Coturnix japonica: one gene and its partners. Each later gene encodes a partner of the first gene's protein in a complex. Links are inferred from orthologs where the notes say so. Each region holds a gene or a part of one and is shown in the gene's direction. Other genes may lie near its edges.

What was found.
Region 2: FBXL13 (region 1) and IQCG share a complex: the UniProt entries of both Homo sapiens proteins name them as parts of the nexin-dynein regulatory complex. The link is inferred for Coturnix japonica from reciprocal best matches to the Homo sapiens genes FBXL13 and DRC9.
Region 3: FBXL13 (region 1) and IQCD share a complex: the UniProt entries of both Homo sapiens proteins name them as parts of the nexin-dynein regulatory complex. The link is inferred for Coturnix japonica from reciprocal best matches to the Homo sapiens genes FBXL13 and DRC10.
Region 4: FBXL13 (region 1) and EFCAB2 share a complex: the UniProt entries of both Homo sapiens proteins name them as parts of the nexin-dynein regulatory complex. The link is inferred for Coturnix japonica from reciprocal best matches to the Homo sapiens genes FBXL13 and DRC8.
Region 5: FBXL13 (region 1) and DRC7 share a complex: the UniProt entries of both Homo sapiens proteins name them as parts of the nexin-dynein regulatory complex. The link is inferred for Coturnix japonica from reciprocal best matches to the Homo sapiens genes FBXL13 and DRC7.
Region 6: FBXL13 (region 1) and GAS8 share a complex: the UniProt entries of both Homo sapiens proteins name them as parts of the nexin-dynein regulatory complex. The link is inferred for Coturnix japonica from reciprocal best matches to the Homo sapiens genes FBXL13 and DRC4.
Region 7: FBXL13 (region 1) and DRC1 share a complex: the UniProt entries of both Homo sapiens proteins name them as parts of the nexin-dynein regulatory complex. The link is inferred for Coturnix japonica from reciprocal best matches to the Homo sapiens genes FBXL13 and DRC1.

Annotation. Positions count from the first base shown.
Region 1 is NC_029516.1:11,568,337-11,572,616, reverse strand, and holds part of FBXL13 (dynein regulatory complex subunit 6), read left to right. Parts: intron 1-1,985; coding exon 1,986-2,038; intron 2,039-3,383; coding exon 3,384-3,484; intron 3,485-4,280. UniProt on the Homo sapiens protein: Substrate-recognition component of the SCF (SKP1-CUL1-F-box protein)-type E3 ubiquitin ligase complex.
Region 2 is NC_029524.1:13,170,954-13,175,233, reverse strand, and holds part of IQCG (dynein regulatory complex protein 9), read left to right. Parts: intron 1-176; coding exon 177-421; intron 422-730; coding exon 731-859; intron 860-2,325; coding exon 2,326-2,407; intron 2,408-4,280. UniProt on the Homo sapiens protein: Component of the nexin-dynein regulatory complex (N-DRC), a key regulator of ciliary/flagellar motility which maintains the alignment and integrity of the distal axoneme and regulates microtubule sliding in motile axonemes.
Region 3 is NC_029530.1:9,591,122-9,594,881, reverse strand, and holds the end of IQCD (dynein regulatory complex protein 10), read left to right. Parts: coding exon 1-84; intron 85-2,075; coding exon 2,076-2,147; intron 2,148-2,366; coding exon 2,367-2,648; 3' UTR 2,649-2,962; downstream 2,963-3,760. UniProt on the Homo sapiens protein: Component of the nexin-dynein regulatory complex (N-DRC), a key regulator of ciliary/flagellar motility which maintains the alignment and integrity of the distal axoneme and regulates microtubule sliding in motile axonemes.
Region 4 is NC_029518.1:31,176,094-31,180,904, reverse strand, and holds the start of EFCAB2 (dynein regulatory complex protein 8), read left to right. Parts: upstream 1-1,570; 5' UTR 1,571-1,897; coding exon 1,898-1,922; intron 1,923-2,121; exon of another isoform or gene 2,122-2,143; intron 2,144-4,811. UniProt on the Homo sapiens protein: Component of the nexin-dynein regulatory complex (N-DRC), a key regulator of ciliary/flagellar motility which maintains the alignment and integrity of the distal axoneme and regulates microtubule sliding in motile axonemes.
Region 5 is NC_029526.1:1,941,794-1,946,677, forward strand, and holds the start of DRC7 (dynein regulatory complex subunit 7), read left to right. Parts: upstream 1-1,468; 5' UTR 1,469-1,913; coding exon 1,914-2,218; coding exon of another isoform or gene 2,219-2,368; intron 2,369-2,616; coding exon of another isoform or gene 2,617-2,648; coding exon 2,649-2,823; intron 2,824-3,304; coding exon 3,305-3,430; intron 3,431-3,491; coding exon 3,492-3,704; intron 3,705-4,009; coding exon 4,010-4,144; intron 4,145-4,478; coding exon 4,479-4,697; intron 4,698-4,884. Other genes in the region: uromodulin-like, read right to left, coding at 2,218-2,368, 2,617-2,669. UniProt on the Homo sapiens protein: Component of the nexin-dynein regulatory complex (N-DRC) a key regulator of ciliary/flagellar motility which maintains the alignment and integrity of the distal axoneme and regulates microtubule sliding in motile axonemes.
Region 6 is NC_029526.1:16,810,831-16,813,958, forward strand, and holds part of GAS8 (dynein regulatory complex subunit 4), read left to right. Parts: intron 1-566; coding exon 567-772; intron 773-1,053; coding exon 1,054-1,221; intron 1,222-1,581; coding exon 1,582-1,668; intron 1,669-2,591; coding exon 2,592-2,801; intron 2,802-3,128. UniProt on the Homo sapiens protein: Component of the nexin-dynein regulatory complex (N-DRC), a key regulator of ciliary/flagellar motility which maintains the alignment and integrity of the distal axoneme and regulates microtubule sliding in motile axonemes.
Region 7 is NC_029518.1:96,153,514-96,158,590, forward strand, and holds the start of DRC1 (dynein regulatory complex protein 1), read left to right. Parts: upstream 1-1,655; 5' UTR 1,656-1,699; coding exon 1,700-1,872; intron 1,873-2,274; coding exon 2,275-2,368; intron 2,369-2,895; coding exon 2,896-3,008; intron 3,009-4,043; coding exon 4,044-4,227; intron 4,228-4,669; coding exon 4,670-4,807; intron 4,808-5,077. UniProt on the Homo sapiens protein: Component of the nexin-dynein regulatory complex (N-DRC) a key regulator of ciliary/flagellar motility which maintains the alignment and integrity of the distal axoneme and regulates microtubule sliding in motile axonemes.

The DNA of each region.
Region 1 (4,280 bases):
TAAGACAGGAGCTTTTACCCAGGGATTATTTCTAGAGGAAGATAAGAACTACTCAATGCAACCACATCCAAAATTGCATTATTAAGGGTTTAGCCTTTGTTTGCTCCTGTATTTCCTATAGTGGTCCCATGCACTGCCTTTAATGCCGTTGTTTTCAGAAAATTTTGGCCACAAAGCTGTTTCCTCAGAAACATTTTCACTCTCTAAAGGTTTGTTGTTGTTGTTGTTGTTGTTTTTTGTTTGGTTTCCAATTTTTCACTGTTTTGGGTTGTGTTCTCATTTTTTGTATGCCTGTATACATCTTTGTGTTATGTTCTATCTTTTTTGACCTTAGTACTTAAGATGGTAGTAGATCCAAGTCTTGAATGCAGACGGTATCCCAGATGTTCTGTTTCTGAAGCAACATTGTTTTGGTCTCAAAAAACTTGTCTTTATCTGGTAGAAAGATTCTATAATAAGAAAACTAATATTAATGTGACCTGCTGTCAGTATCAACTTTGAAAACGCCTTAATTGGATTTCTAATGCTCTACTTGCCAGTTCTCTGTTGGCATTCAGTTTCTGTTAATTCATAGCGTGCATTACACTAACGACTTTATCCTTCACATGAAAAATGAGGTTTGTTACTTTTCAGAAGTTACATACTAGTGTATTGATTCTGAGTTTTAATAACATCAGTCATAACGGGGATCCTCTGTGTTGTTTTGAATTTTTGAACATTTTTCAACATTCAACATTCATTCTGTCCAGGAATGCTTGGAACTGGAAAAAGATAAGAATTTGATGATGAAAGATAATAACTACCTGTGAAATGTTCTTTGTTCTTCTTTTCCATCTCCTGAATCTGAATAGGCAGTTATTACCAGTATTACTCTGCCATCGATTTCTATTATGCTCAGCTGTAATATCAAAATGAGCGACTCCTTTCAGTAGCGTTTACAGGTTCACATGTGAAATCTGTCTCATTTAGTCTTAGGGCAAGAACCATATAAGAGGTTTGTCATTTCTGCGGCTTAGCATCCTTAATTATGATTTTAACTGCTTAGATGTTTTTGAGTTGTGCAGAACCCTGTCGGGGATCTTGGGATTTCAAGATCCTACCCTTGTAGAACAGACCTCTGGTTGGACTAATACTTGACTAGAATTGAAAATCTGTTTTTGGCTTACAATGTCAGTGTTTCTTTTTAATGCTTTTTATGTTCTTCTTTTAATTCTATACATATTTCACACTGCATTTTCTATGTTAGATCTGTGTACCAGGCCTACTTTTTATTTTCATTTCAGTTTAGTCAGATTGGTTATTTTTAAAGGTCAGATTAAGACAAAAAGCATTTTTACATAATTACCTTTGAGAATAGGCTAAAAATTTGGCAAAGAGAGTGGTTGAAAGGATGGGTAGGGGCTGCTCCCAGTGTCAAATGTCCACATTTCATTATTTAGTTGCAAAATTGCAAAGATCTCTGCAAAATAGATGTTATAAACAAAAAATTTAAAGGGACACAGAAGTGAGTGTCTCAACTAAGTAATCCTGAATTCTATAACTAACTGCAGAAGATAAGCATAGCATTTTGTATATTTAGTCTAGTTGCTGCTCTTCTATTTGTCAAAGGAAAAAATAGTTCATATATATAGTCAAATAATGATATCATCATGTAACATTGGGATGGAACAGACACATTTTAGATAACTTAACTCCATCATTTCCTAACACTACATTACTTAACTAGAGAGCTTTCTCATCCTTTGGTAATGTAAGACAGAAAGTAGCTTGATTCATAAGCCAGATATTAGTTGATGATGTGTTAAGAAGACATTTTTCCTCTGGACAACTTCAGCTTTGTATACTACTTCTCAGAAATCTGATACTGCAATAGTTTCAAGTAGGATATTAGTCAAGATGGACTGAAACTGTAATGAAATACTTAAGTTTCTATGGTACTCAGAGAATTTGAACTTTTAACCTTCAAAATGCCTTTGTTTTTTTAGGTGAATGTAGGAATTTGCAAGATTTAAATCTCTCTGAATGTCAGGGATTGAATGTAAGTAACAAACTTTATCCACATACCTATTACAGATGAATCTGGCAAGTCAGCCTTCCACTGTATTTTTTTCAAATGAATAAAAAAATAAGAAACTTTTCAACAAGCCTCAAAATTTGATGGTAATTATTTCAGGATTATGTTGCTTGTCTTGACCTATCCAATTATCCAGAGGCTAAAACTTATACTACATGAACCTTGTGAATAAATATGTTCTTGTCATGTTCAGAATGCTCATTTGGCATGGTCTTAAAATTACTGATTATATGCAATTCGCATGTGAATTCACATAACATAGACCTGAACCAGCTCCTAGATATGATTAATTTCAGCACGTCTCTACAAAGAGCAGAAAAAACGTGCAACCTGTGTATTAAATGTACTTGCTTATCTGGGTTATATCAGATGCTTAGTTTGTAATAGAATTTGGACTATTTATTCCAAAATATTGTTAGAATTTTAATTATACCTTGTAGGGCAGTGGCTTCTGGCCCAACCATTACATAGTGAATTTTTTGGGGGAGGGAAAAAAAAAAAAAAAAAAAAAAAGAGGGAAAAAAAAAGAAATCAACAGTAATGACATAACCACTGTAAACTTCCTAGTGTCATATTTTGGCAAACTCGGAGGACTGGTGAAACTGGAGAACTGTTGACATTTGGAGGTAGTAGATACTTAACAATAATTGCAAGGAGGAAGACATGTTGACCCTTGAGGGATGTCATTTGCCACAAGACAGCAATGGCACTATCGGTGACAGTTCTTTGGCCTAGCAGTCCAGGCAAATTTTCACTCACTTTGGAATCCACTTATCCAGCCTATATTTTACCCATTTGGCTATAAAAGATACTACGTTGAAGGCCTTGTTGTAGTCAAGATACGCAAACTACTTTTCTCCTCTTATCCAAAGATTTTGTTATTTCATCATAGAAAACTATTACATCAGCGAGGAATGCTTTGTGCTTAGTAAATCCTTGCTGGCTGTTTCCTGTCACCTGTTTATCTTTCATTTGCTTGGTCATGGCTTCAAGGACGATCTGCTAAATAAACTTCTCAGGGAGTCTGGTAAGGCTGAAAGTCTCAGAGTTTCCTGGATCCTTCTTTTTCCCCTTCCTGAAGGTGAATGCGACATTTCCTTCCTTCCAGTCATTTGAAATCTCCTTTGTTACTTAGATCATTGAAAAATGATCTATTCTGTCAAATAGTGTTACTGCACTCTTTGTAAAAGTTTCCATGGAAAGAAATAGGAGGCATTACTTTCAGAGAAATCTACATACATACAAATATAAGATAAACTAATGCAAATAGAATTTTAATGTACATCTGGATTTTTTTATTAATATGCAGGATGAATCAATGAGACTTATATCTGAAGGCTGCAGATCTCTTCTCTATTTAAATTTGTCATATACAAATATTACCAATGGAACACTACAACTTTTGTCAAGGTAAAGTTAAAAATAGATGTTACAGTATCTTTGTTTTACTCATACAGTAAGCTCAGAGGCATGTATTGTAGAAATACCCTTTTAAAGAGATTTATCAGATTCTGTNAACTTACAAAAAACTCAATACATTTCACTTAGATGACAATTCTTCTTTCTTTTTTTTATGTTTTATTATAATTAAAAATATATGCTAGGCTACCCTATGTATTCCACAGATTTCTGCAGAAAGAGAACGTGGTAGTTAAAAAATTTCTGTGGCGTATCCAGCTATTCCTGATGATACAAGAAGTTTGCACAAAGGAATGTTTGTAAAAATTCTTTTTTTATTTTTAAAGAAGATTGTGGGTGGGTCTATTGTGAGAGCCAAGTAGTTGTGTGCCAACTGCGAAGAGTTAATTCTAAGATCTAACTTGGAAGATCAGTGTATGGAAGACAAATAGATAACGTTGTTAGAAGTCTGTCATTCCTGTTTAAATGTGTCTCTCTATGAGACATGGAGATTTGGTGAATTAGAGGTTGGTTGATGCACTAAAAGCTGACATCACAAAAAAAAAGCATGATGGTCAAGGATGTGCCTCCACAAAGATGTACATAGGTTTTGAAGATAGATGTACATTATTTATCTTTCCCATGAATAAAATTAATGCCATCCTTTCAGCAACACCCCCACAAAGTCCAAAAATCTCTTTTTCACTGTCATCACAGTTTTTATTCTTAAATCTGTGTGCTGTATCTTCGTATTTGGCAAAAATTACTGTTGAGTGTCTTGCCAGTCACCTCTTCATCAATATGATTC
Region 2 (4,280 bases), on another chromosome or scaffold:
GCTCACATCTCACCCAGATGAACATTTCTGGTATTTGGTTCTTTGTAGACTCATCAACTGGCCATCGTATAGGTGGATTCTTGTTTATTGTTAATTCTTCTTCCTCCCACATAAAGCTGCATAGAGTCTATTCCTATTGCTCAATGTGCAAGCAGGTTTCTCTTACTCTCTTTTAGATCAACAGCCAGGAAATGAAAGAAATCACAGACACACAGAATGTGCAGGACATTAAGTATCAAGAGCTTCCCCCTGCAAAGCAAGGGAGTGGGGAAACTGTTACCTCGAAGTCTCTGAAAAGCACTGAACAGAAGCAGCAGCTGGGGAACTCTGCGGATCCAAAACGAGCCCAACATCCTTCCAAAAGGGCCACGAAACCCAATGCTCCATCTGCAGAATATCTCAGAAAAATTCAGGCTGACAGGTAAGTGAAGCACAAGTGTGATGCCTGTGCAGGATGCTCAGAGCTGTAAAGTTCTCACTTTACCTCTGCAAAGCAAAATACAGGCTTCTCATCCTCCCACTGCTAGTGTTCCCCAGTTGTGGCTATATCTAAGAATGGCTATATCTAAGGGGAGCACCATGGCCTTGCCATGAGATCTCATGATCTCAGTTATTCTGTAGGGTACACAGAAGCCCTATGGCAGTAGGGCAATAATTGATAAAGGTGCCAGACTCCGTGTTATCAGTGTACACCTATACATTACTGTTGTGTTCCTTTTCTCCCTGGTAGGCAGTATGTGAGTGATGTAATTACAGCCACTATGAAGAAGATGGAGGAATCGGGAACATTTGATAGCCTAATAGAAGCTAATGGGAGAGAGAAAGCAAAGAAAAGCAACTTGAATGACATCCTCATCAGGTCAGAGTTGTGCTTTGTACTTTTCTGATTAGTGACCTAGAGCCAAAGCTCATTTTCCCTCATTATACAATGTAAAAGGAAAACAAAAACAAACTCTACATCAAGATATGGAAGGGATCCCTTTTCAGCTTGAATTATCCTGACTACTTCACAAATTGCATTTGCCCTTGGAGAGGAAAATAACTGACTGTAATAATACTAATCTGACTTGGGAATTGCCTGAGCTTGGACCACAGCGGACACCAGTGTCTGCATTGATGCAAACTCTGCTCCATATCAATTAAAACATAATGTGATGGAGGAGTTTTCTGACCTTCAACTCCTTGTCCCCAGAGGAAGCCAGAGTAGCAAATAATCTGCTCAAACCAAGGTCAGCAACATACGGACTTGAGGTTATACGATGCCCAGGAGAATCTGCTTTGACCCAAATGCTAATGTGCTCCCTTTTTCCAATGCAGGGTTAGCACAGATGGTGGCAGAGGCAATTGTCTTTTGAACGTGAAGCCCACCACTTCCAGCATCTAAAACCAAGGGATTTATTGTTTCTCCAAGGAAGGGTCAGAAAGCAAAAAATGAAAGCAGCTGTTGCTTGTGGAATCCCTGTTCAACACTGGAGTTAGAAAGGGGGCATACAAATTTTAATCATTTTTTTATTCCATTATATCAACCATATCTAAGCACTGTGCTATCTGTTCTACTGCACATTCTTTTCATTGAATGAACTTGATCTGTATTTAAATATACCATATACTTGTCTGGTTTTGTGTCAATATACCAGTCTGAGAGCAGTCTGCAGTAAGGCTGAGACTCCTTATCAGGAGCTCCTGTAGCAGAGTTGCCCAGCTAAGTACCTAAAAAATGAAATGCATGTTTGCCTGTAAAGTGGGGGTAGGGTACAAAGCCTCAGGCAGCAACTCTTCTTACTGGCTTTAGATCAAACAATAAGCATAAAAGCTTGGAAAAGCCCTCAAAGTGAAGTAAAATAATGAGACCTACAACATTATCTCATCCTTTTTGCTTTAAACTGTCAAACTCCCCTGTAGGTTTTGGCCTGGCTCTCCCTGTTTTTGGTTCACTTTCCCTTTCATTCCCATCCTCCCTATTCAATCCATACATCTCTTCCTTCAGGATTTACTTACCAAGTCACTAACTTTGTTGAGAGATCCCTCTGATCTGGAGACGTGCTGCCTTCAACACTGAACTTCAGAGTGAAGACACAAATACCTTTTCTGCTCCTCAGACACTGGGAGCAGCTGCAAGCTTTTACGCTGCACTGAAGCAGGGCAAACTTCTCACTTCTTTTAGTTCAGCTGTAACAAAGGTGCTGGATGAGCAGGTTAATTGGGGCAGCGTTCACTAGGTGCAGCAGTGTATAAAGAATCTGAAAACTCCCTATCTACGTACACAGCTCATGGGGTGTTTTTTTAGATGCATTCAAGTGACTGTATTCTCCCATTTTCCTTCAGGGAAGAGGAAGGAAAGAAGGAGATAAAGTCACTCCAGAAACAGCTGCAAGATGTCAAGAAAGAAACTGAAATAGAACTTCAGGTGAGATTACTTAACACCAGGCATCATGCCAGGGGGAAGTGTGTTAGCAAGCTTGCTCCTGCTGCCCAGGAACTAGTGCTCAGATGAGAGGACACAGCATATGTAGCAATCCATCATTTAAGAACATAGTATAACTGCAGCACAGACTTACATTCTGAATGTAGTTATTGATGAATTTAAGAATGCTGTTCAGTGCTATTCAAGCAGAAACTCAAAGTGCTTATAATTGTGAAAGGCTGTGAGGAAGTCAGAACACCTCAGAAACACTGCAAAGCAAGGACATGAGTGAGTGCTGCTACATCTGCAGCCAGGAAGGAAGAGATGAGCTGCAGACAGCAGGATCTGAGGTTCGGTCATACTTAATGATGCAGACATGACACCTAGCACAGAAGAAAGACTGACAGTGAGGGATTAAGAAATAAAGTGTCAGAATTGGCACAAGGACACGCTATTTTTCTACCTGCAGTTTTGTCAGGGGAAAATATTGTAATTTGCATCTATTTCCTAGGCTTCCACATACAACAAAATCCCAAATACACGAGCCCTGTGCAAGGGCAGATCAATGTTACTACACACACCCCATTGACTTTATCTGTGTGGAAAGCTTCAGCCTTTCTGTCTGCAGCGTGTGAATTGTCTGTGCACACACAGTAAATCTGGGGCATTCTGGACACATCAGACTTGCTGCACAAGTGCAGATCAATTAAATGGCATATCCCTGGTCACCGTGATGCTCACCAGACAGCTCAGACTCAATGGTCATGCATGCTTAAAAAAAGCACACAGCTCGGTGCAGAAACATGCAAGCTTAACCTGTTTCTGCTGAGGTGAGGAAGAAGAGTGTGTGATGAGATACAAGCAGAAGAAAGGCCAGGTCAGAGCTATATAAGGCTTGAAAGAAAAGAATCTGGCACTTTGTCCTGCCTTGCAGCTCTCCTAGCTCTAAGTCATACAAACATGTAGCTCCCACGCTGAAGACATGCTCCTCTCTGTGTGTTTTAGTACCTTCTGCTAATGTGATTCTTGCTTTCTGCCTCATCAAGTGGGATCTGCGCTCATCTGGGATTCTGGTTTTATGTTTCCAGCTTAAAAGTCATTTTCTGGGCTTCCTTATAGCTTCAGCTTTGATAACAAATCAAAGACGAGACGACTTTCAAGTACTGCTTTCCTCCTGTGCCAAAAATATCGGTGTCTCACTCAGTCTCCCAAGGGAGAATAATTTCTATTTGCTTCATATGGGATTTCCCCATAGGCAATTTTACAGACACACAATTATTTGTCACCTCGCCAACTAATTAGGAGCAGAAATACAGCTTGCTGATTTTGGACTATTCTGAACAGGAATAATACACAGACCTGTAGACAAAAGCCTACATGGTTGTCTCCAGTCCAGTGGCTGGGAACACAAAACCAAGCAAATCTCATCATGGAACCAGAAAAACATGGTTTTTGCTTCACGCATGTTGCTTGTGTGTATTTTCAGCCTTAATGAGATGCTAATTAAGGCTGTATTAGCTGGCTCAGCTCATTTTTTTCTTCCTAATAGAACACAAATGAACTGCTAAACGTTTCCACTTCTTTTGTTTCCTTTTGGAAAACACGGATGTCTCAAAAGCTGCTGAGATGAACAGTCTGGTTATATACTTACCCTCCATACAAGAGGGTCTGTGATGGTCCTGGGGCCACGTCAGCCCCCAGAGCAGCTCAGCAGGACACAGAGCTGCTGCAGTAGAGCCAAACCTGGAAGCATCCAATGCCATCTAGTCCAACTCTCCTGCAATGAAGATGGACGTCACAAATCATCACTCCGGGAGGCTGGGTGACCTGTCAGCCCAGACATCCTTTCAGCTAAAGCATCACCGGGGGGTGTACA
Region 3 (3,760 bases), on another chromosome or scaffold:
CTACAGCAGGACATTCAGCAGCTGGAGGAACAGCTCAATAAGCTGATCCTGGAGCATCGAGTATCAGAGCTGGCTCTCAGGAAGGTAAATGGTCAGAACTGTTGTAGAGCTGCTTGGTGTGGCTGCAAGTGTCTATTTTGTTCCTACCATTTCCTGGCAGGATGCACACGCTGTTTGTCAGAATATACCTGTGCTGTCCTCGTGCTCTGCTGATTTCAGCAGAAAGGAAGCCTGCAGTGCTGCTGGGGAAGTCGCCTGCTCACAGTTCCTCCTCTTGTTCCCTGACCTAGCTCTGGAAGTTCCTCAAACAGTGCTGTGATGCTGCACGACAGGGAGGTTGTGCTCTAGCCAAAGTGCAGAGGCTGGGCAGGTGACAAAGCATCAAATGCAAGTTAGAGCCATCCAACTGCACCTCCTTTAATGCTGTGGCTTTATCAGCCTTTTTTCTTTTTCTTCTATTTTTTTTTCTTTCCTGAGGCAGCCAGGCTGCTGCAGTGATCATTGTGAGGAGCTGCTCAGCTCATGCAGAGAGATTTACTGGCCACAGAGATCCCCTTTCCCTTTCCTTAGCATGTGCTGTACCCCTGGGTGGCCTAATATCGTCTTTGTCATGCCAAGAGACGGGAAATGCCTTGTCTGACCTATGATGGCTTGGAAGTCTGTGGGCCAGTGTCATACAGGAAATCATGTGGCTTGTGGTGGGCTCTGGCTGATCTTTCTCTCACAGAGTACAAATAGCTGTATTTACAGGAGGGACCTTGTTAGGTTAGACTGCTGCTAGACTGTCTTACACCTAGAAATACCTCTTAAGAGGCTCCATATTTGTAGGGCTTTCATGTTTACCATTTCTCTGTTACTTCAGTTCTAGGGTGGTTGCCCCAGTTTGTTGATTACTTGCCTCATTCCATGAGATGTTTTCATTTCCTACCACATAACATGCCTTTCTGATGTCTTTCAATCCTCAGCCCTCATCCAGCTCTGTACTAGTGAACAAATAAGGTGCTTTTGGCCTCAGGCAGCGGAGGCCTGTTCCATGAGAATCCCCAAATCAGGAGCAAAATATAGGTCAGCTGAAGCAAGCTTGCCACAAGGAGGAGATGTTCTACTCAAATATGATGATGCTAGAGCTCAAAGCTATGATGCTGTTTCCTAACTCAGGATTTTACACAGAATCACAGAATCATAGGGATTGGAAGGGACCTCTGGAGATCATCTAGTCCAACCCCACTGCTAAAGCAGGTTCCCTGCAGCAGGTTGCAGAGGAAAACATCCAGGTGGGATTTGAGTATCTCCTGAGGAGATTCTGTCACCTCTGGGAAGTTTGTTCCAGTGCTTTGTCACTCTCAAAGTCATGAAGTTTTTCCTTGTGTTCAGATGGAACTTCCTATGTTCCAGTTTGTACCCACTGCCCCTTGTCCTGTCACTGGGCACCACCAAAAAGAGCCTGGCCCCATCCTCTTGACTTTTGATCCTTTTGATCCCCTTAAATATATATAGGCATTGGTAAGACCCCTCTCAGCCTTCTCTAGGGCTCTCAGCCTTTCCACATCAGGGAAAGCAGCGCTTTGTGCTGCCCATCATTTTTTTTGTGTCCCTCTGCTGGACTCTCTCCAGCAGCTCCATGTCTGCCTTGAAGTGGTGAGCCCAGAACTGCACACATTGCTCCAGATGTGGCCTCCCCAGGGCAGAGCAGAGGGAGGAGAACCTTCCTTGACCTGATGGCTACATTCTTTGTAATGTACTCTGAGATACCATTGGCCTTCTTGGCCCCCAGGGCACACTGCTGGCTCATGGTCACCCTGCTGTCCACCAGGACTCTCAGGTCCTTCTCTGCAGAGTTCCTTTGCAGCAGGTCAGCCCTTAACCTGTACTGATGTGCACCCTGATATTCCTCCCTGGGTGTAGGATTCTGCACTTTCCCCTGTTGAACCTCATTGGGTTCCAGTCTGCCCAGCTCTCAGCCTGTCCAAGTTTGGCTGAAGGCTGCGTGGCCTTCTGGTATGTCAGCCACCCCTCCTAGCTTTGTATCACCAAGCTTCAAGTGCCAGCAAGTAACCTACCTTGTTTTGTTTCAGAGAAAAGGCAGAATGGAGGCGGAAATTCTGAACTGGGTCGAGGTATATGACACAGACATGGCAGAAAAACAGGTATCCTCTCTAAAGCATTTTGCTCTCCCATGAGCTGACATGTTCAGGTGCATCCCTATCAAATGGACATTTGGCTCTCACACAGGAGGCCATAGATGTGAGGGGCAGTTCTCCATCCAGATGTAAGGGTAAAAGAATCCTTACCTAGGGTTGTATAGAGAGAAGCTGCTGGTTGCCCTCAGTATTGCTGTAGCTGGTATTTATCTGTTGTCTTGGCAGGCTGAGTTTGAGGAGGTTCATGCTGCCTACACCAAAGAAAAGGCTGAGCTGTCCCTGCTGATGGAGAAACATGCTGTGCTTCTCCCGGAGTATACCCAGATTGAGGAGGAGCGCAGGTTAAATGAGGAGAAGAAGAAGCAAGCTTTGGAGAAATTGGCTGTCATGACCCGCGCTGCCACCCTCATCCAGGCCTTCTGGAGAGGCTACGTGATCCGGTGTACCTTCAAGCCAAAAAAGAAGAAGGGCAAGGGCAAGGGCAAAGGCAAGAAGGGAAAGAAATAATCACAACATCTATTTACTCTCCTGTCAAAGTCACTGACTCCTTTGAGACAGAGCACTTCCAGATAAAAGCATTAGGGTTGAGATAGCATTTGCATTAAGGCCCAAACAGTCCAGGGCTGGAGCTGCCTCTCATAGTTAAATAGAGTGTTGGCATGAAGATAAGGCTTGCTGTTTTAGGTTTAGCTTTGCTAGCTCTAAAAGATGGAGGAGGTCTCCTGGTGAAGGGACTGGACTAGGTCTACCCAACTCTACTTTCTCTCCAATTCTGTTGTTACTGAAGATGGGAATAAAATCATTCCTGGGGGTAGGATGAAGCTCTTTGTCTGGCTTGGTTTCTCCTTGTGTGCATTTGAGAGGATGTTTCCCTTTCCACAGGAGGAAGCTGCAGGATCACCACTGATCCACAAAAGAACTGACACGCCAGTGTCAGATTTAAGACTTAATGCTTCTCCCTGGATCCTCCAAGTGTTCAATGCCCTGTGAGCACACTGTAGCTTTTCCCTTTCACAGAAGTATGAGTCAAATGCATTTAAGTAGCCGTGTAGCAACTTCAGAGTTCTTCACTTCTCTGCCCCTTTGAGCTGAAACTGGTCATGGATACACTTACACTGAGTGCTGTGTCTTACAGAGTTTCATTCTGGCTGTTAATGTTACCAGTATGACACTTCCACTCCTTTGCATTTAACAAGTCCCAGAACTACCAGCATTTGGATCCAGGTTCCAGCTGACATTTCTGTATTCCCCGACTTTGGAGTTTCTTCATTTCTTTTCCCAGGACAGTGCAGTGATGCTGGCTGCAAATCCCCAACAGCCACCAGCCCTTTGCTCCCTCTCTGCCTCTGTTCATAAATGGATATCTATAGCAAATGGATTCTATGCAAACCGAGGCAGAGAAGGGACCGTTTTGCTAAGGACGAGAGTCCCTGGAGATATTCAAGGCCTGAGTGCAGATCACACAGCAGCCCTGCCAGATTTTCCTGGATGGTTTATTTGCTTAAAAGTATGGGGTCACTGTGACATTATCCTCAATACAAATCATAGTGGTTTTTTTTTTGCCATCTTGTGTGCAGCCCTATGCACGTTGCCAAGCGCATCCTGGAATCACTCAGGCC
Region 4 (4,811 bases), on another chromosome or scaffold:
GCAGCTAATGAGGGTCTGAGTCAGCTGCTACAGTAGGTCTAAGTGTGGCAAACACAACATGTAGTATCTGTTGCAGACTTCAGTATTTCCCCTTTCTTTCTGGATTTTACACGTTATTGTTTAACTACCATAACTCTTGGAGGAAACTGGGATAAGTGTGTGTCAGATATAGTGTGTGAGGAAAGCCAAGCCCAAATACTGCTGAGATTGATGGGAAGATGATAAAATAAAGTGGCCTGAGTGAAATGACTCTTACTATTTCATGTTCACAATGGCTCAGATCTACACAAAAACTGCTGTAGAAATACAAGAGTCTCAAATTTCCACAGCAAGCAAAATGTATTTCAAAGATGAATGTTGTCCATATTTTGGGCATGGGCTGGGCATGAAAATCTGAATGAGTGGAAAATCAGTTTTTAAAGCATTCATTAGGGGAATCTTGTGAAGACTTTGAACTAACATTCATTTTTTATAAATACATCAGCATTTGTAGAATTGCTCTGCATGTCCTGTGATGAATCAGGTGATCTGGAAAATGACACAGGGAATCTAATCCTTGGGCACAACACTGAAGAACATAAAATTTCACGCTGAGACGATGAGAGAAGTAATAAGCAAGCTCTGTGTTTGTCAAACAATGTATTTTGTTCTTCAGTTTCAAATACATCTACCACAACAGATCAACAACCAGCAAAGACGAAGGTTTTGTGTTTGGAGACATTGAAGGAACAAGAAAGGGGATTGCATCACAGTGAAAGATAATGGCCTTTCCTTCTGTTACTGTTACATTCTCTAGATTAGGCTTTTGCACTGTTATCACTCAAACTTCAGTTATCTGCTTGAGAGGAAACAAATCCACATTACCCATGTAGTCAAAACACATACTTGGAAGTACTCAGTTACTTTAATAAACTGTTCAAGTCTATAGGTAACCATTTGGAGGGATCAACTTTGTTAGAGAGCATAATCAGCTGTTTTCCCAAGAGACTAACACTGTACGCTCTGTTGGGTATATATTATACCCTATATTATACCCTCTTTACTCTGAGCTACGCACAATATAAACAGTATAAACAAATAGCGCCTACTGCGGGGAAGACAGTGCTTTGGTTCTAGGAATTTCCTTAAAACATTAGTTCCTATGAGTATATGGTTGCATCTTGTTGGTATGCTCATATTTGCATTTTCTCCACTTCCACAATCATTTGTTCAGAAGAACTGCGCATTGCAAGTACATCTGCTAAAATACACGGCTATATTTAAACTGCGTTTTATTTAATATCGCTGAGAATATTTTAGCTGTTTCAAGAGTGACGATATTTAGAATAAAATGTTCTTTCACTTTCTGAAGCTCAGATGCAGAAATCTCTGCAATTGCTGGGAAGACTTTTTTTTTTTCTGTGAACCAGCAGATTGCTGGGGCTCGTCCAAGTCTCCCTGCCAGGACAGTGGTGCTTGTGCCTGCCGATGCCACCCGTGCCAGGTGTGTCTTCAGCGGTGGGTTCTGTCACTTTGCCATGACAGGGAGTGACACCCCAAGCATTACTGGTCCCAGCTGGGAGGGAGGGTGGTGGGTTACAGCTGCAGCCTCCATGCCTGGGATCCGTGTTTGGGTGCGATGGATGTTTTGGAGCATTAGCACCCAGGACTATGGCTGTCACTCACTGCTCTTGAAACCACGCAGTGCAGTAGTTAGTGCACTCAAAAAATCACTGCACTGCTTCACTCAGCTTTTATATGCTTTTTATTTCAGCGGGCCCGGTGACTGCTTCCCAGGGCGGAGGGCTGCCAGCTCAGGCCTGGCGCTGGGGGCCAGGGGAGGCCGCGGTGGAAGGAGGGGAGCGCCCGCCGGGCCGCTGCGCCCCGCGTCGCCACGGCGACGGCTCGGGGCTCGGCCATGGCGCAGGCGGTGAGCAGTGACGGTAAGGCCGGGCACGGGGCCTGCACAGCGGCCTGCGGGACGGAGCGCGCCTGGGAGTGGGAAGCGAGGGGCCCAGCCTTGGGTGACGGCGTGGGGCGGGGCCAGCCCTCCGCCAAGGAAAAGCGATCCCGGCTGACTCTCGGGGCTCCGGGGCTTATTTTTAGAGGGAGGCGTGTTCTGCTTCAGGAAGCGCTGCCAGAAAGTGTGATTGAAAGGCGAGAGGTAACTCCTCCCGCAAGGGTGTCCCAGCGTCGTTTCCAGAAGGTTGTGCACTCTGAGCAGCTCGTAACAGTGTCGCTTCTGAGTGCCGTCCTTTGTGTAAATAAACACGAGAACGTGGTAATAAGTCACAGATTGAGAACACTGTAACTAATAAGTTATTTCGTATTAATGAGTAAAAGCACAATTTTCTGTGAAAAACCCACAACAAAAAGTTGTGGGTAATGCTGAATGAGGAGTTTTTCTGATTGCTTGATCAATAGCTTCTAATGCATTTTTTTAGTTCGAATGTAATTTTAAAGAAGTTGAAGCGCCGTCTTGCTGAAGACACACCCTTTTGTTGATTGTTTTTTAATTACTAGAGGTAGTTTATCATCCTGTAAAGAGCTGTTCCCAGGAGACCACCACAAGTTATCTGCTAGAGGGAAACTGTGCTGTCAAGAATTCCATTCCTGGCCCTTCCTGACAGATCACAGGAAGGTGGCAAGCTGGGCTTTGATTTCCTGCCTGTAGGGAGAAGACAATGACTTGTATCTCATGGATAGTGTGAAGACAAGGCATCTAGCTTCCCTTTGGACACTCATGAGAATCCTACACTTTTATTGAGCAGATGATTTCCTTAATGCCTCATAGAGGTGTCTCATCACCAAGGCAAACTAATATTCAGTGTCTCACCGAAGTGCAGAAGCATCCCATAAGAGGAGATGGCTTATCTCCATGTCAGTTGCTCTTAGACCTCCTGCAGGTAGCAGTTAGGGGGCTGATTAGAATCCTCAAATCCTGGATTCATGCAGCAATTGTGCTTCTGACAAGCATTTTACATAAACACAAACTGCAGCTTTTACTTTGTTGTGTCTCAAAGAGAAGAACAGCATTAGTTTTATTGTCGAATAATTAGTCTTTAGGGTATTCCCCTTGGTTCTTGGTAGAACTGTAGTTCCACCTGCTTTTGTGGTAAACGTTTCCCTTAGGTCCTATTATTTTCAAGTTTGTCTTCATCAAAGTTAAAATGCTTACCTTAATGTTTAACAGATATACTGGATGTACACAAGAAAAAACAGTGTAAGGCCAAGTCTTGCAGCCTCTTTTGCATGACATTGATAATGTGTTACCCTCTAGCTTACATAATTGCGAATAAAATCTTGCATGTGTGTGAGTGCTAATATCATGCCCATGATATATGGAGCTGTATGTTTTATGCATGAATTTGTATTCCTGCATTTGTGCTTTCAACGTTATTTAATTATTTTTTTTTCTTTATTCCCATCTGATTACATTACACTGCTTCATCTTTCTCTTTTGTGTATTTGTCTGTATCTTTCTTCCCATCGTTCTGTTTCTTTCCCCTTTTTTGCTACTTAATTCCATCTGTCTGTTCTTCCATTTGTTCTCAGGTACTTTCTTTATAATTTCACAGAACGTGTCAGATTTTCTAAGTTTCCATCTCTCTGATCTCAGTGCCGATGTTACTAGAACCTGAAAGTAAAATGTCAGACCAGTAGTGCCTGAAGTAAAACTAGATGGAAGACAAGACGTATTTTTCTCCAGCTGGGATTTAAGAAATTACATGGAAGTACATAAAAGAGAATGTTCAGTGTGGCTTTATCATTATGGTAATACTGTGTATGTGATCAGTATGAGAGTTTTATACACACTGTATTCTTTGTGCTAGTTAGCACATACTTAAAATACAATTAATAAGTCATGAATTTGAATCCAAAAGGAAGTAGATGAAATATTCTGAGCTCCTGTTGCACACCTTTATACCCATACAGAACTGGACGACTGATTCTGGGTAACAAAGGTCTTCCAGAAACATAACTGATTGTGATGTGAAGACTTAAGGAGATGGTTTATAGCCATTCTCTGATGAGGATTTTCTCTGGTAAATAGTAGTGATTCTGGGGAATTTAACTTACTGCTGCAGTATGTCATTAGTCCTCACAGATCCTTTTCCCAACTTGTGAAAAACTCACAATAAGGTTGTTAGTGGAGATGGGAAAGAGTTTTTACCTCTGCTCTAGAGCCTTATGAACTCTGCTGAACTCTTTCCAAGAGATCCCCGTCTTTTTTGTACTGGGGAGCCCAATACAGACACAGTACTTCAGATGTGGCCTCACCAGGGCAGAGGGGGAGGATCACCTCCCTTGACCTGTTGGCCATGCTCTTTTTAATGTACCTTTTTGGCCACTGTCGTCTACCAGGACACCCAGGTCCCTCTCAGCAGAGCTCCTCTCCAGCAGGTCATCCCCCAACCTGTTCTGGTGAATGCAATTATTTCTCCCTAGGTGCAAGACTCTACACTTGCTTTTGTTAAACCTCATCCGGTTTCTTACTGCCCAGCTCTCCAGCCTGTCCAGGTTTCGGTGAATTCTGCCCCTGTACTCAGCATTGGTGAGGCCTCACCTCGAGTACTGTGTTCAGTTTTGGGCACCTCAGTACAAAAAATACATGGAGGTACTAGAGCAGGTCCAGATAAGGGCAACGAGGCTTGTGGAGCACTTGGAAAATCAGCCCTATGAGGAGAGGCTGAGGGAGCTGGGGCTGTTCAGTCTGGGGAAAAGGAGGCTGAGGGGAGACCTTATTGCTCTCTTCCAGTATCTGAAAGGTTCCTACAGTGAGAGAGGGGCAAGTCTCTTCTTACTGGTGACAAGTGACAGGATGAGGGGAA
Region 5 (4,884 bases), on another chromosome or scaffold:
GGAGGATGCAAAGCCCTGGGGATGTAAAGCTCCATCTGCAGCATGGGCTATGGCCCCACTGCATGGTCCTCCAGCTTCAGTGGAAATCTGGCTCCTGCTGCTGCCAGAACCACATTGATAGCAAATGCAGGGCTGTTCCAGCTTGGCACAACCACCTCGGGCAGCTCTGCAAACCTCCTCCGAGATGTGCCACCCGTGGCTGCAGTAGCCTCAACACAAAGCTCCCACCACTCTCATCCTGCCCACCAGCCCAAGGACAGCATATATCCTCAACACAAAGCTCCCACCTCTCTCATCCTACTCACCATTGCCAGACCACTCCACACTTGCCCACCCGCAGCCAGCTGCGTTCTTCTCACGCTCCTGGCTGCCTCCCTTATATCACCTCCCAGCAGCTCATCGCTCCCCCACGCTGTCTCTGCGATTGCACAAGAGCCAGCAGCAAACGGGGAGGAAAGGGCCCTCTGAAAGTGTGTCCTCCAGCACAGCCCTTCTGATTAGCTCAGGGCTGGTGAACGCTGACCCAAATCACAGCCCTGATGGAACTCTAACCAGGAGCAGCGTCTGCAATACCCCTATCTCTGCACCATCCCCTGCTTATCAGGGTTTTATGCACCCACCTGCTGTTGTGGCACCTGCTTTGCCTCAGCAGGAGCAGCAGATACCATAGTGATACATACAGAGGCAAACAACTGTGCGCTCAGTACATGGCTTCCCATGCACACACATACGTGCTCTGGTTTTTAGTGACTTCTGAAATCTCAGATCTGGTGGGAGATGCTATGACAGACATGGGGATAAGAGCTCAGTCCTTCCACGCTTTGTGAAACAATAATGATAATGTTCATTCAAAGTGATGCTACTTGATACACTGTTTCTGCTGCAGCATAAAAGAAAGCACTCAGCTAAATTATTTAAAACATCTGACTGTGGTTTCTCTGCATGCCCAGCATGTCACGGCACACCCCACTGTCCTGGTGCATCCTCAGGAGCCTTCAGTGCTGTGGGCACCCCCTGGGAGCAGGGCAGGCTTGCCTTAACACAGATAAAACACAGCAATGAAGCAGTGCTTAGCAGCTGTCCATCCAAAGAACCACCACTTAAAAAACCAAGCCTCCTGCGCCATGTAAAAGCATTGGAACCCATGAGTTTTGGGGCAGTCCTGAAGCCTGGAGTGGGCAGAGTAGGCCCAAGCTCAGACCCAGGCCCAAAGCCAGGCCCAGGCCCACAGCTCCCAGCCCATTAGCTATGGGGCTGCTGAGGCACCTGCCACAGCCAGGCTGCGTACGGAGGAGCTGAAGTGAGCGGTGAGCAGAACTGGGGCAGCCGAGGAGGCTGCGGGACCCGGGGTGCAGCTCGGGGCCTATTGCCTCCACAGGGCGGGGGAGGGCCGGGGCTGGGCGGCGGGGGAGGCCGCAGGCCGCGCCAAGGCTGCTGGGTGCGTGGGCGTTGCCGTGGTGACCAGGCCCGGCGGAGAAGCCGTGTCAGGAGACAGAGGTGCGGGGCTGAACGGGCTGCGGGGAGGACACAAGGTCCATCGTGCCCCATCTGCTCCACAGCGGGTCAGCCTGACCGCAGGGAGGGAAACGGATGGCCCCCAGCCTCCCTGAAATGTAAACAGGCGATAGGAGCAGCGCTGCGGCCTTGGAGGCTGCTCTGCTGCTGAGGCAGCTACAAACAACCCCCTGCCCAACAGCCCTGGCTGGGGCCCTTGGAGGACCACAACAGGGCCTGAGGCTGTGCCATGGCTGTCACCAAACAAATCCCCATCTCACTGCCCCGTGACCTGTGTTCCACCTGCCCATGCTGAACTCAAGTTCAGTGCTTGCACCTGACAGTCACAGAAATGGGAGTTATCGTGCCCCAAGTGCAAGGGTGTTGGTGTTGCTATACACCTTGTCCCAACTGGTTGCATGTATTTCTGTAGAGGAAGCGAAATGGAGGCCGTAGAGGAGAAGAAAGAGGAGCAAAAGGAAGAAGGGGAGCAAAAGGAAGAAGGGGAGCAAAAGGAAGAAGGGGAGCAAAAGGAAGAAGGGGAGCAAAAGGAAGAAGGGGAGCAAAAGGAAGACGGGGAGCAAAAGGAAGAAGAAGGGGAGCAAAAGGAAGAAGAAGGGGAGCAAAAGGAAGAAGAGCTGAAGGCTTTGGAGGACAGCAGTGAGCTTCACGACCTGGAGAAAAAGCTGTCTGTGGAACAAATCTGCTTTCCAAGTGATGTACCGTAAGTTGCACGTTTGTGTCAGTCACTGGGATGAGCAGATACAGTCCTGCAGGGGGGTCCATAGGGAGCTGCATGATTGTAGCTGGTGCTGAGGCTTGTTTGTGCAAGGCAGGGTGGGGAGTTTCTGTAAGCCTGGTGAGCTGTTCATCTCTGTAAGACAAGATAAATCACTTCATTTTCCATCCATTTAGTGTTGTATCAGAACACTGTATAAACATCCCCCAGTCCTCTTGGTCTACATTAGCTTGCCATCACTCCAGAGAAGCCTGGCTATGGCAAAATTATGCCCACTTTAAATGATCTCTTCTTGGATTTGAGCCTCATTTTTTTCCAGCAGGGAGCCCCTCCAGTGTCTTGACAGCAGATCATCCTGTCTAAATTGCTCCCCACTTTATTACCTGTGTTTCTCTGCCTCCTTCTGCCTCTCAAGGGATTTTGACTGGAGCAGCATTGACACATCCGAGTTACCAGACTCCTACAAGACGAATTCCCCAAGGGAAAAGAAGATGCTGCGCATCGCTGACCATTACCAACGGCAGTACACTCACCTCTGCCCTGAACGCAAGCCGCTCTTCCTGCACCCAGTCAACGAATGTGGCGTGGAGGTAAAGGGTGGTGTGGAGATGGGCCCAAGCTGCACAGTTTTTTGTCTAGCTATGGCCCTGTTGCTCCTCTGACTGTGTGGAATTGCTTCTTTAGGTCAGCTTCCTTCAACATTTATTATATAAAAGTCATACAAGTTGAAATAAAGAAATAAATAGATGCCAGAGGATATAGAAGCCAGAAAGCGCAGTAGCTATTTGTCTCACATGAAAACTAAGAGATCTGGCTCACATCTATAATGTGGCTGAGATTAGCTTGAATTTTTAGGCACAAACAAACAGAAGTGCCTACCGGCACAAACCCTCTTAACTCCGTGCATTTCCTGTTCTGAATGGTGATGAGGTGTACCATCGGTATGTTGGTGTGCTCCACAGAAGTCCTGAATATAAACTGCTGCATCCAGGGGTTGTCTGAGGATGGCTTTGGACAGGAAACTGCACTAGAGATCTGTTGGCTAATCAAAGTCCTCTTCTTGCATTACAGAAGTTTGTGAGCACAACAGTGAGGCCAACCTTGCTGCCTTACACAGAGCTGTACCACTGGGATGGCTGTGCCAGCTTCGTCTCTGACTATCTCACTATGGAGCCCCTCAAGAGCCCTCTCACACCGGTAAGAAAGGGGCTGCAGTCCCTACAGAAGAAGCCAAGAAAGAGACAAGCACTGTGAACAGATATCCCTTTCTTTCAAGCCCAGTTCACTCTATTCCCCAACCACCATCCTGAAGTACCAGCGAGGGAACTGCTTTGACTTCAGCGTGCTGCTGTGCTCCATGCTGATTGGAGCTGGGTATGATGCCTACTGTGTGAATGGGTATGCCACCCAAAGCATATGCAGCTTGGATGAAACTCTGGAGGTATGCCCACTGCTCAGGAAGCCACAGGAGGTGAGGAGATCTGCAGTGAGCAGGGAGCAGGCAGGGGGGAGCCTGGGTGTCTGGTTCTGATAAGAAAACTATGACATTGGTGAGAAAGACAAAGCACTCTGGAGGCCAATGAAGCTGGCATCTCTGGTGCGTCCAACACGCGATAAGAATGAGTGTGATGGCAGGCTGTGGGGCGCCCAGCCACACTGCCTGTTTGCTTTCTAATCATGTTACTCATTTAAAGAGGGCAACAGTTTGCCCATGCTTTCTCCCTTTTCTTGATTCCTGCTGGGTTTAACAGCAATTTCTTGCTTTGGTGGAGGCAGAAACCAAAAGAAGAAGTGAAGAAGTCTAGCAAATATAGAATTAAGCCCCTCCCAGAGGTCTACAGCAAGTTTGAGCTTCAGCAGGAGGCCAAGAAGAAAGCAGAAACTGAGAAAAAGGAAAAAGAGATAGGCATGGTGAGTTAGCAAGGTCTACCCCCCTACTCTCAAACTCCATTAGCAAGAATTGAGACATGGGTAATAGCTGACCTTAGAAAGGAGCTCACTACCCTCCACGCAGTAGAGTACAGCTCAGATTCTGGCTATGAACACATGGTTTCTGAAAACATAGTGTGTGCTAGCAGAGGAATATATGCTGAGCATGTACTCCACTACTGTTCTGAGGAGCATTAGGGGTTTGGAGGCCTTTAGAATTGGGCAGGGAAAAAAAAAAAAAAAAAAGATTGCTGGTGGATTGGACTACAGTGTCAATAAAGTAGCAGTAATTTCTGTTCTGTCTTCTGGACTACAGGAAGTGGAAGAGCCCAAGCGTGACCGTTTGTGTGGCTTACGGGTCCATGCATGGGTTCTGGTTCTGTCTGGCAAGAGAGAGGTTCCCGAAACTTTCTTCATTGATCCCTTCACGGGGAACAGCCATAGCACCACCAATGAGCAATTCCTTGGGATTGAGAGTGTCTGGAACCACAAGAACTACTGGGTGAACATGCAGGACTGCCGGAATGGCTGCAAGGTAACGAGCTCTTAAACACCCCTGCACCTCAAAGGGACAGTCAGGCTGAGCCCAGAGGAAATCCAAAATCAGTGGTGATCCAGTATTCCCCTGCACTGGCTCTGGGCATGTAATTCTGATTACTTAGACTATCAGGCCTGGTACCTGGAGCTAATTCCTGGCATCCCACTCTCTGAGCTAGCACATA
Region 6 (3,128 bases), on another chromosome or scaffold:
GCTCGAAGCCCCTGTGTCTGTGTGCTGAGGAAGCCTCCTTGGAGCTCCTCTGTGCTGTTAGCCTTCCTGGAGAAGAAAGAGGCCACTTCTCCCCTCGATTCTTGCTCTCTGCTCATGGCTGCTGGGCTGTGTGGCTAACAGTGCTGTCCAAACTGAACTCAGCCTGGCTTGAATGTGCTGTGAAAATGGAGCCTGGACAGGCTGGGTGGAGGCAGGGCTCTCACTGCTGCCAGCCCATACTGCTGAGCACAGTTGCCTGGCTGGGTGGCTGGAGGAGTCCTTTCAGATTTAAGTCCTGGCTCCAGTGCTCTCCTCAGGGGACGCATCAGGTTCTCACGGGCTGCCTTGGAGCGTTTCCATGCCCTGTTTCCAGGATGCTATTTCTGGGCTCTGCTCTCCATGGTCCCAACGTAACTGCTCCGTGTGCTGGTGGCAGCTGCTGTGGGGCTGTTAACAAGCATCTTGTCTTTGAGCAGTGCTGCAGTGGCACATGTTGGGCTGCTGCTTGCTAACAGAGCCTAGGTTCTGTGGGAGGGTCTCATTCGGCCCCCTGTGCACTTCCCCAGAGATGGAGGCCAGGTACAACAGGAAGATGCAAGCTCTGCGGGATCAGCTTGACCTGCGCCGAAAGACTGAGATCCATGAAGTCGAGGAGAGGAAAAACAACCAGATCAGTGAGCTGATGAAGAACCATGAGAAAGCCTTCCATGACTTCAAGAACTACCATGAAGATGTCACCTTCCAAAACCTGGCGCTCGTCAGCTTGCTGAAGGTAATGCCTGCCTGCTCTCTGACCCCGCTGCTGCAGCCCTGTTGTGTAGTGTCACCAGGGAGCTGGTCCAGTAACTTGCCCCAGATCTGGCCAGTTCCCTGGTGGAAGTCCTGGCACTCCTGTTTTCCTGGGAGTTGTACGACATTACATGAGCAAAGTTCTTGTACACAGAGAGATGTGGCTTGCTGGGCCAGCACTGGGAGGGTGTTGGGACTTGGGAAGCTGTGAGGAGCTGGGCAGACCCTGCCTATAGGAACTAGCACTTGTGTTCCCAAAAACAGGAACAGGTGGAGGAGGCGAAGCAGAGAGAAACTCAACTGGAGAAGGAGAAGGCAGATGCCTTGCTTCAGAACAAGCAACTGAAGGAGACCCTGCAGCAGGCCCAGGAGCTGGTGTTTGAGCTGCAGAAGAAGTTGGCCCACTACGATAAGGACAAGGAGGCTCTGATGGTGAGCTGCCAGCCCTGCTGAGCCCTTTTCTATTCTTTCCTGGGTCACTTTGGCTGTTTCCTGGCATTGCTCAGCAGTGACCTCTGCCGCTCGGCTGAGAGCTCTTCGGCCAGACTGCTGGGCAAATGCACTGGGGTCCCTTTCAGCTTATTTGGATGCGTGTAAGAACTCAGACAGGACTCCAGAACTCTGGCAGCAAGAAAGAAGAGCAGACCCTGCTGCAGAGAGGGAAGGGTGTTGGTGTGGCTGTAGCTTGTGTTCTCTCAACCCCATTTCTTCTGCTGGTTGCTCTCCCCCTTGCCAGAACACAGAACACCCATCTCCCAGAGAAGTCTTGTAATTGTTGCCTCCTACTTGCAGAACACAAAAGCCCATCTGAAAATCAACCAGAAGGAACTGAAAGACCTTCAATGGGAACATGAAGTGCTGGAGCAGCGGTTCTCTAAGGTGAGATCTGCAGGTGGGTCTGGCCATCCTGTTTCTCTCTCCAAACCCTGTCCCCATATAGAGGTTTAGGCACTAGGACTTTGCAGAGGCTGTTTTGTGCTGTACTGAGCTGGAAGCTTTCCAAATCTCTAATCCAGAGCGGCGCATTAGCTGCTACTTCCAACAAGGCTTATCACAGTTTTGGCGTCTCCTGTGCTCAGCAGACAGGCTCAGCCTTGTACTTCACTGAGCAATCATGCGTGTGCTGATGGTCCCCTCCTGGCCTGCTGGTGGGAGGCTGTGGCACTGGGTCAGGAGTGGAGCTGCATAGAGAGGCTTCTGCTACAGCAGAGAGAGATATGGGGACAGTATTTCCCTCATTCTGCTAGCATGTGGATGTCACTTCCTTGCTTGTCGTGCAGCCTCTTCAAGGAATATTCTGTTGACTGAGTTCTCCCAGACTGAGCCTCTCCCTTGCAGCTAACCCAGATAAATGCATTGAGGCAGAACAGAGCTCATTTGCAATTCGTAGAAATCCCCAGGAATATGAACACTGATCTGAGGCCTCGTTAACAATCCATCATTAAGGCAGGAACATATTCAGTGCAGTCAGAAATAGGCTTTGGAGGAGAGATTCTAATTAGGACACTTATTAACTAGCTGTAAGCCAGGAACTCCTGCCAGCTGCAAGGATGGGAGGAGAGACCCCTGCATGCTGGGGCCCCTCTGTGGTCCAAAATAGTGCCTTGGGACAGAGCATAGAGGAGGATGGAGTCAAGGCCAGGCTGAGCAGAGCGTGGTCTCTGCTTCTGTGGGAGGACAGCGAAGGCCAATTTACTCCCTTCTGGAGCTCAGGAAGTGCTGGGGTGGGGGGGGCTGCAGCAAGCCAAGATATCCCAAAGGGTCCTGAGGATGGTGTAAAGCTGTGCCATGTTTTGGAGCAGGTGCAGGCAGAGCGAGATGAGCTCTACCAGAAGTTCACCAAAGCCATTCATGAAGTACAGCAGAAGACTGGGTTCAAGAACCTGCTCCTGGAACGCAAGCTGAAAGGACTCCTCGATGTCCTGGAGAAAAAGGAAGTGGAGCTCAGCGAGGTCTTTGCAGCCTCCAAACTCGATCCAGGAGCCCTTTCCTTGGTCTCACAGAAGCTGGAGGTACTGTGCACTGGTGCAGGGCCCTCTCCTTTCCCCCTCTTGAAGGGCAGAGGCTGCTCTGGGGAAAATGCAAACCTTGGAGATGTGAGCGTCGTCAAATTCTGAGGTCTATGGGCAGCGTAAGGGCAGAGCCTGGTTGTGTGGCAGGAGACAGTCCCTGTCCTCTCTCTGCACTGTTACATACCTGGCTGTGTGGCCAGTCCCCAGCATCAGCACACTGCAAAAGCACCTCAGTCTGCTCTGCTGTTGGCTGCGCCATGTGGAGAGCCGGGCTGTGACTGTTGTGTCAGCTGTTCCCAGCACACCCATGGCTGCGTGGTGCCGCAG
Region 7 (5,077 bases), on another chromosome or scaffold:
TAATCGCCCTCGTCTCTACTGCACATGCGCAGCAACGACCTGCATCCGCAAACCTCTATGTGGGGACCAAGGAGGTAAATTCCTCCCCACTGTAAGGGTAGAGCAAGTCCGAGAGTGCCTCCTTAGACTGAATGAGTACAAGTCTATGGGGCCAGATGGCGTGCATCCCAGGGTCCTGAAGGATCACATCCGAGACAGCCAGCATGCTTCACCAGGGGAAAGGTCTGCTTAACTAATTTGTGGCCTTCTATGATGGAGTGACGGCGTTGGTGACGAAGAGAAGGCGACAATGTCATTTACCTGGACTGAGCAAGGCCTTTGACATGGTCCCCACCACATCCTCATCTCCAAATTGGAGGGAAGTGGATTTGATGGTGGACAACTAGATGGATAAGCAATGGTTGAAAGCCGCAGACAGAGGGTGTGGTCAATGGATCTATTCAGGTGGAGGCCTCAAAGGTAACGGCGTGTCCCCCAAGGGTCTGTCTTGGGCCGGTGCTCTTCAACATCTTTATTAATGAACATCGATGAGGGAATGGAGTGCACCCTCAGCAAGTTTGCTGACGACACCAAGTCGAGTGGTGCGCGTCGATACGGTGGAGGGAACAGATGCTCAGCAGAGGACCTTGACAGGCTGGAAAGCTGGGCTCGGGTGAACCTATATGAGGTTCAACACGGCAAAGTGCAAGGTTTTGCACTTGGGCCGGAAGAACCCCAGGCACCTGTACAGGCTGGGAGGAGTGGTCCTTGAGAGCAGCTCAGCTGAGAAGGACCTGGGGGATGGATGGATGAGAGACTCAACATGAGCCAGCAGTGCGCTCTGGCAGCCCGGAAAGCAAAATGGGATCCTGGGCTCCATCAGGAGAGGGTGGTCAGCAGGGATAGGGAGGTGATCGTCCCTCTCTATCTTCTCTTGTGAGGCCCATTTGGAGTACTTGTCCAGGTGTGGAGCCTCAGTACAAAAAGACATGGAGATTTGGAAAGGGGCCAGAGGAGGGACAGGAAGATGATCAGGGGGCTGAGCACCTCCCCATGAGGACAGGCTGAGGAGTTGGGTTTGTTCAGCCTGGAGAAGAGAAGGTTGCGGGGTGACCTCATTGCAGCCTTTTCAGTACCTGAAGGGAACTTACTGCCAGGAGGGGAGTAAACTCTTGGAAAGGGCTGACAATAGCAGGACACGGGGAAATGGTTTTAAGTTAAAAGAGGGAAGATTTAGGTTGGATGTTAGGGGGAAGTTCTTCACTAGGAGAGTGGTTAGGCCTGGAACAGGCTGCCCAGGAGGTTGTGGATGCCCGTCCTTGGGTGTTCAAGGCCAGGTTGGACGGGCCATGGGCAACTGATCTTTGGGGTCTGATCTATGGGGATCTATGGGGTCTATGCGGTCTCTATGGGGATCTATGGGGTCTATGCGGTCTCTATGGGGATCTATGGGGTCTATGGGGTCTATGGGGGATCTATGGGGTCTATGCGGTCTCTATGGGGTCTATGGGGTCTATGGGGTCTCTGTGGGGTTCTATGGGGTCTATGGGGTCTCTATGGGGTCTATGGGGTCTATGGGGTCTCTATGGGGATCTATGGGGTCTCTATGGGGATGCGCAGCTACTGCGCATGCGCCGCATCCTTGTTGCTAGGCAAAACAGCAGCGCCGTGCCACTACGCGTGCGCAGTAGTTGCGTCGCCAGGCAACGCGTTTTCGCATATGAGCCGCGAAGGGGGTGAGCGATCGGCGGGGTCGAGGTGGAAGGAGCCGGTATCGGCCCCTGAAACGGACCCGAACCCGGACTCGGAACCGGATCCGACCGAACCTGGCCCCGAGGAGCGGATCGCCGCTCGCCGTCTCCGCATCGCCGCCCGCCTCGAGGCCCAACGGCGGTGAGAAGAGGGGGCGGCCATTGCGAGGCCTAATCTTATGCCTGATCCCTTCTGTCCCCTATCCAGGCCCTTGCTGCCTTTGCTGCCTTGTACCCACACCCCCATGGGCCAGGCCTGTCCCCCATCCCATCAGCACTGTATGAAGGCCAGGCCTGTCCCCCATCCCATCAGCACTGTATGAAGGCCAGGCCTGTCCCCCATCCCAATGGGAATGGCCAATGGTGCTGGAATCCACCATTCTTGGATGAGTTCCTCTTCTTTTCTGCACTTCTCGGGGCACATTGAGGCTGCTGAATCATTCTCTCTATGCTGGGATGGAGTCACAAGCTTTGCAAGGTTATCTCGCAACTTTAGGGAGATAGAAGTGCAAATGATTCTGTCTTTTTTCCCTTTGCTGCCCAGGCAAGAGCTTGGAGAAGATGAGGAACCAAAGGAGGAGGATGAGGATGTGGAAGAGGAGAGAAACAGCCACAAGGAGGTGGAGGAAATCCGGCAGGTATGACAGTAAGACAGGAAGGTCCTCTTGGATCCCTAAGCTGCAGGCATTTGGCTTCATGCAGTACTCAGTGTCACCCAGCAGCCTGTATGAGAAAGGACACAGTGGCAGAAGCTCTGTAGGACCAAGTGGGAGGAGACTCATGGGCTATAGATTGAAGACAAGATTTCCCTGTAGCAAAATGCCCATGGATTGGAGGGTTCTGAGATAGGAGCTGTGCATCCAGACTCATATCCCACTGTCCAAATATAGGGGAAGCAAAACAGAAATGTGCACTGAGCACGGGCCAGTTCCTCTTTGTGCTGCTGGCCTTCAGGGCTCTCCAAGTGAAGGAGGATTCATGGGTGCACTGAGGTCTTCCCAGTGCTCCTCAAACCCTGCTAGAACATGAGAAGATGGAGCTTATGGGTCTACATAGGTTTCACAGTGTGGGGATATGATCTGGAGCCTTGACAGCATGAGAGCAGCTCCAGTATCTCTCCCTCCAGAGTTGAAGTTTACAGGTATGTGTATCATCTCCTTCACAGAAGTTGGCCAAGCTGCTCTTTGAAGGCATACGGATGGTGACAGAAATCCAGGTGGCTACTGACTTGAGGGAAACACAGAGGAGAGCAGAACAGGCAGAGCTGAAGAAACAGAGGTAAGAGACTGTGGTGTGGGTTTGCTCTGCTGGAAAGGAGAGACGCAGATGTTTGTGCAGCTCTCTGAGCACATCCCGAGATGGCTGCATTACATGCAAAGCATCCTAACTCTGAGCATCCACATACACTTAAAAGTTAGGGTTGCACTGCAGTTAATTGCCAAAGGACACCAAGAGCTCCCAGGTCCAACCTGCCACAGGTGGATCTTTACAGAGTGTTTTTAGCAGTGAGTGTAGTTATTAGCTATAGCATGAGTAGGTGCAGGGCCACCCACACCAGGCAGTTGTGTATGAGGACTGAGAAAAATGTGAGGCTGTGCTGATGTGAGGAAGTGGATATAAATGTCTTCATGGTGAGGGTGGTTAGATGCTTGCTCGGGGGCCCATCGTGATGTAGGGATATTCCAACTCAGCACTTGCCTGAATGAGGCCCTGCACCATCTGCTCTGCCTGGTTAATCCTACATTAACCAGGACCCAGTGTTTTTCTGAGGCTCTTCCAGCCTCAGTTATTCTCCAGTCTCTCTATGGCTGCCTTGGGTAACCTGTCCTGCCCCACCAGAGGGATCTCTAAGGGTCTGGCTGTTTCAGCCTTGCCTGCACAGATCAGTTGAGGAACACCGAGTCCTTTCTCTTAATTGCCTTTGGAGGGCACTGTAGGAACAGTTTGTGGGAGGCTGGCTGGAGCAAGGCATCAGTTCCTTGCTCAGAATATTTTCTATTAAGCCTATCTATAAGGATCTGGATATTTTAAGCCCATAAACAGCCCATAAGGAAGGTTTCAGAGAGGCAGTGGTGGAATGTGTGTGGGAGAAACTCAGTCCAGCTGCATGTGACAAAGGGAAAGCACTCCCTTTGATTCTCCAGGGTTGGGCTGTGTAGCTGGGAGTTGTGTCACCTCCCACCTGCTGCCTCATCTTGATGCCACTTTTCAAGCTAAGTTATTCAGGAGAATGTTCCTGTGGCTTTGTATGTGGTGTAGGCCACTGAACCACTTGTTGCCCTGCGATGGTTTACCTTCTTCTACTGCCCACAGGGTGGAGAAGCTGGAGAATGTAGCCAAGTACAGTGCTGAAAAGTTTGAGGAGATCACCTCGAAGTGGGCCTTGGCCAAAGATATGACAATCCCTCAGGATCTGTGGCAGCTGCTGAACCAACAGCAGCAGCTGTGCACGCAGCTTCTGGATGAGAAGAACAAGCTCATTGGTGAACTGCAGCAGGTAGTGTGGGAGCCATGCGGAGGTAACCAGGGAGGACTGGAGTTTTCAAGCTTTGGAGGGTGCTGTTCTAAAGCAACAGCCATCCCCCTGGCCCACCGAGGCCCCAGCACATGGCTGGGATGCATGCAGTGTCAGTTGGTCCAGGACAAGAAGGGGATTGTTTTCCTAAAGGGAAGCAAGTCTTCTCCAGAGCAGGTTCCTTGGCCCTCAGCAGCAGGAGTGGCCTATTGCAGATGTTTCACCTTCCACTCTATCTTCTTACCAGCTATGACCGACCTTTGGTGGTGATGTCTCTCCTCCCACCTTTCCTCCTAAATACCTCATGACTTGCTGGCCTTTTGTCCTTGTCACCTTTGGAAAAGGCAGGATCTGGGTCCTACATTCTCTGTTATCCCCTAGTAAAACATTCTCTCTGATTTCAGCATCTGCTGTCCTCCTCCAGGAGCTGAAAAACAAAGATGAGCAATACGTGCAAACCATTAAGAAGCAGTCAGATGACATCCACCTGCTTTTGGAGAGAATGGAGGAGCAGACCAGGATGATGTTACGAACTTACCGTCACAATATCCATCAGATTGAGGTAGCCAGTTCATTCGGTAGAAGTAGAGTTCAGGGAGAAAGACTGCAGCTGTTCCCTTCTCCATATCTGTTGCCAAAAGGCCTCAGCCTCTTTCCACCAGCTGGGTTGATTACTGTCCAGAGCAGAGAGCTGATGTCTTGATGAATGAAGCTCAAATCTGGCCAATCAAGAGCACTGAATGATGCTGGGTGCTGAGGGGCTGCTTTATACGATGCTGTGGATGACTTTGGTTCAGCACAGAGAAACATGGTAACATTTGAAAGCTATTGC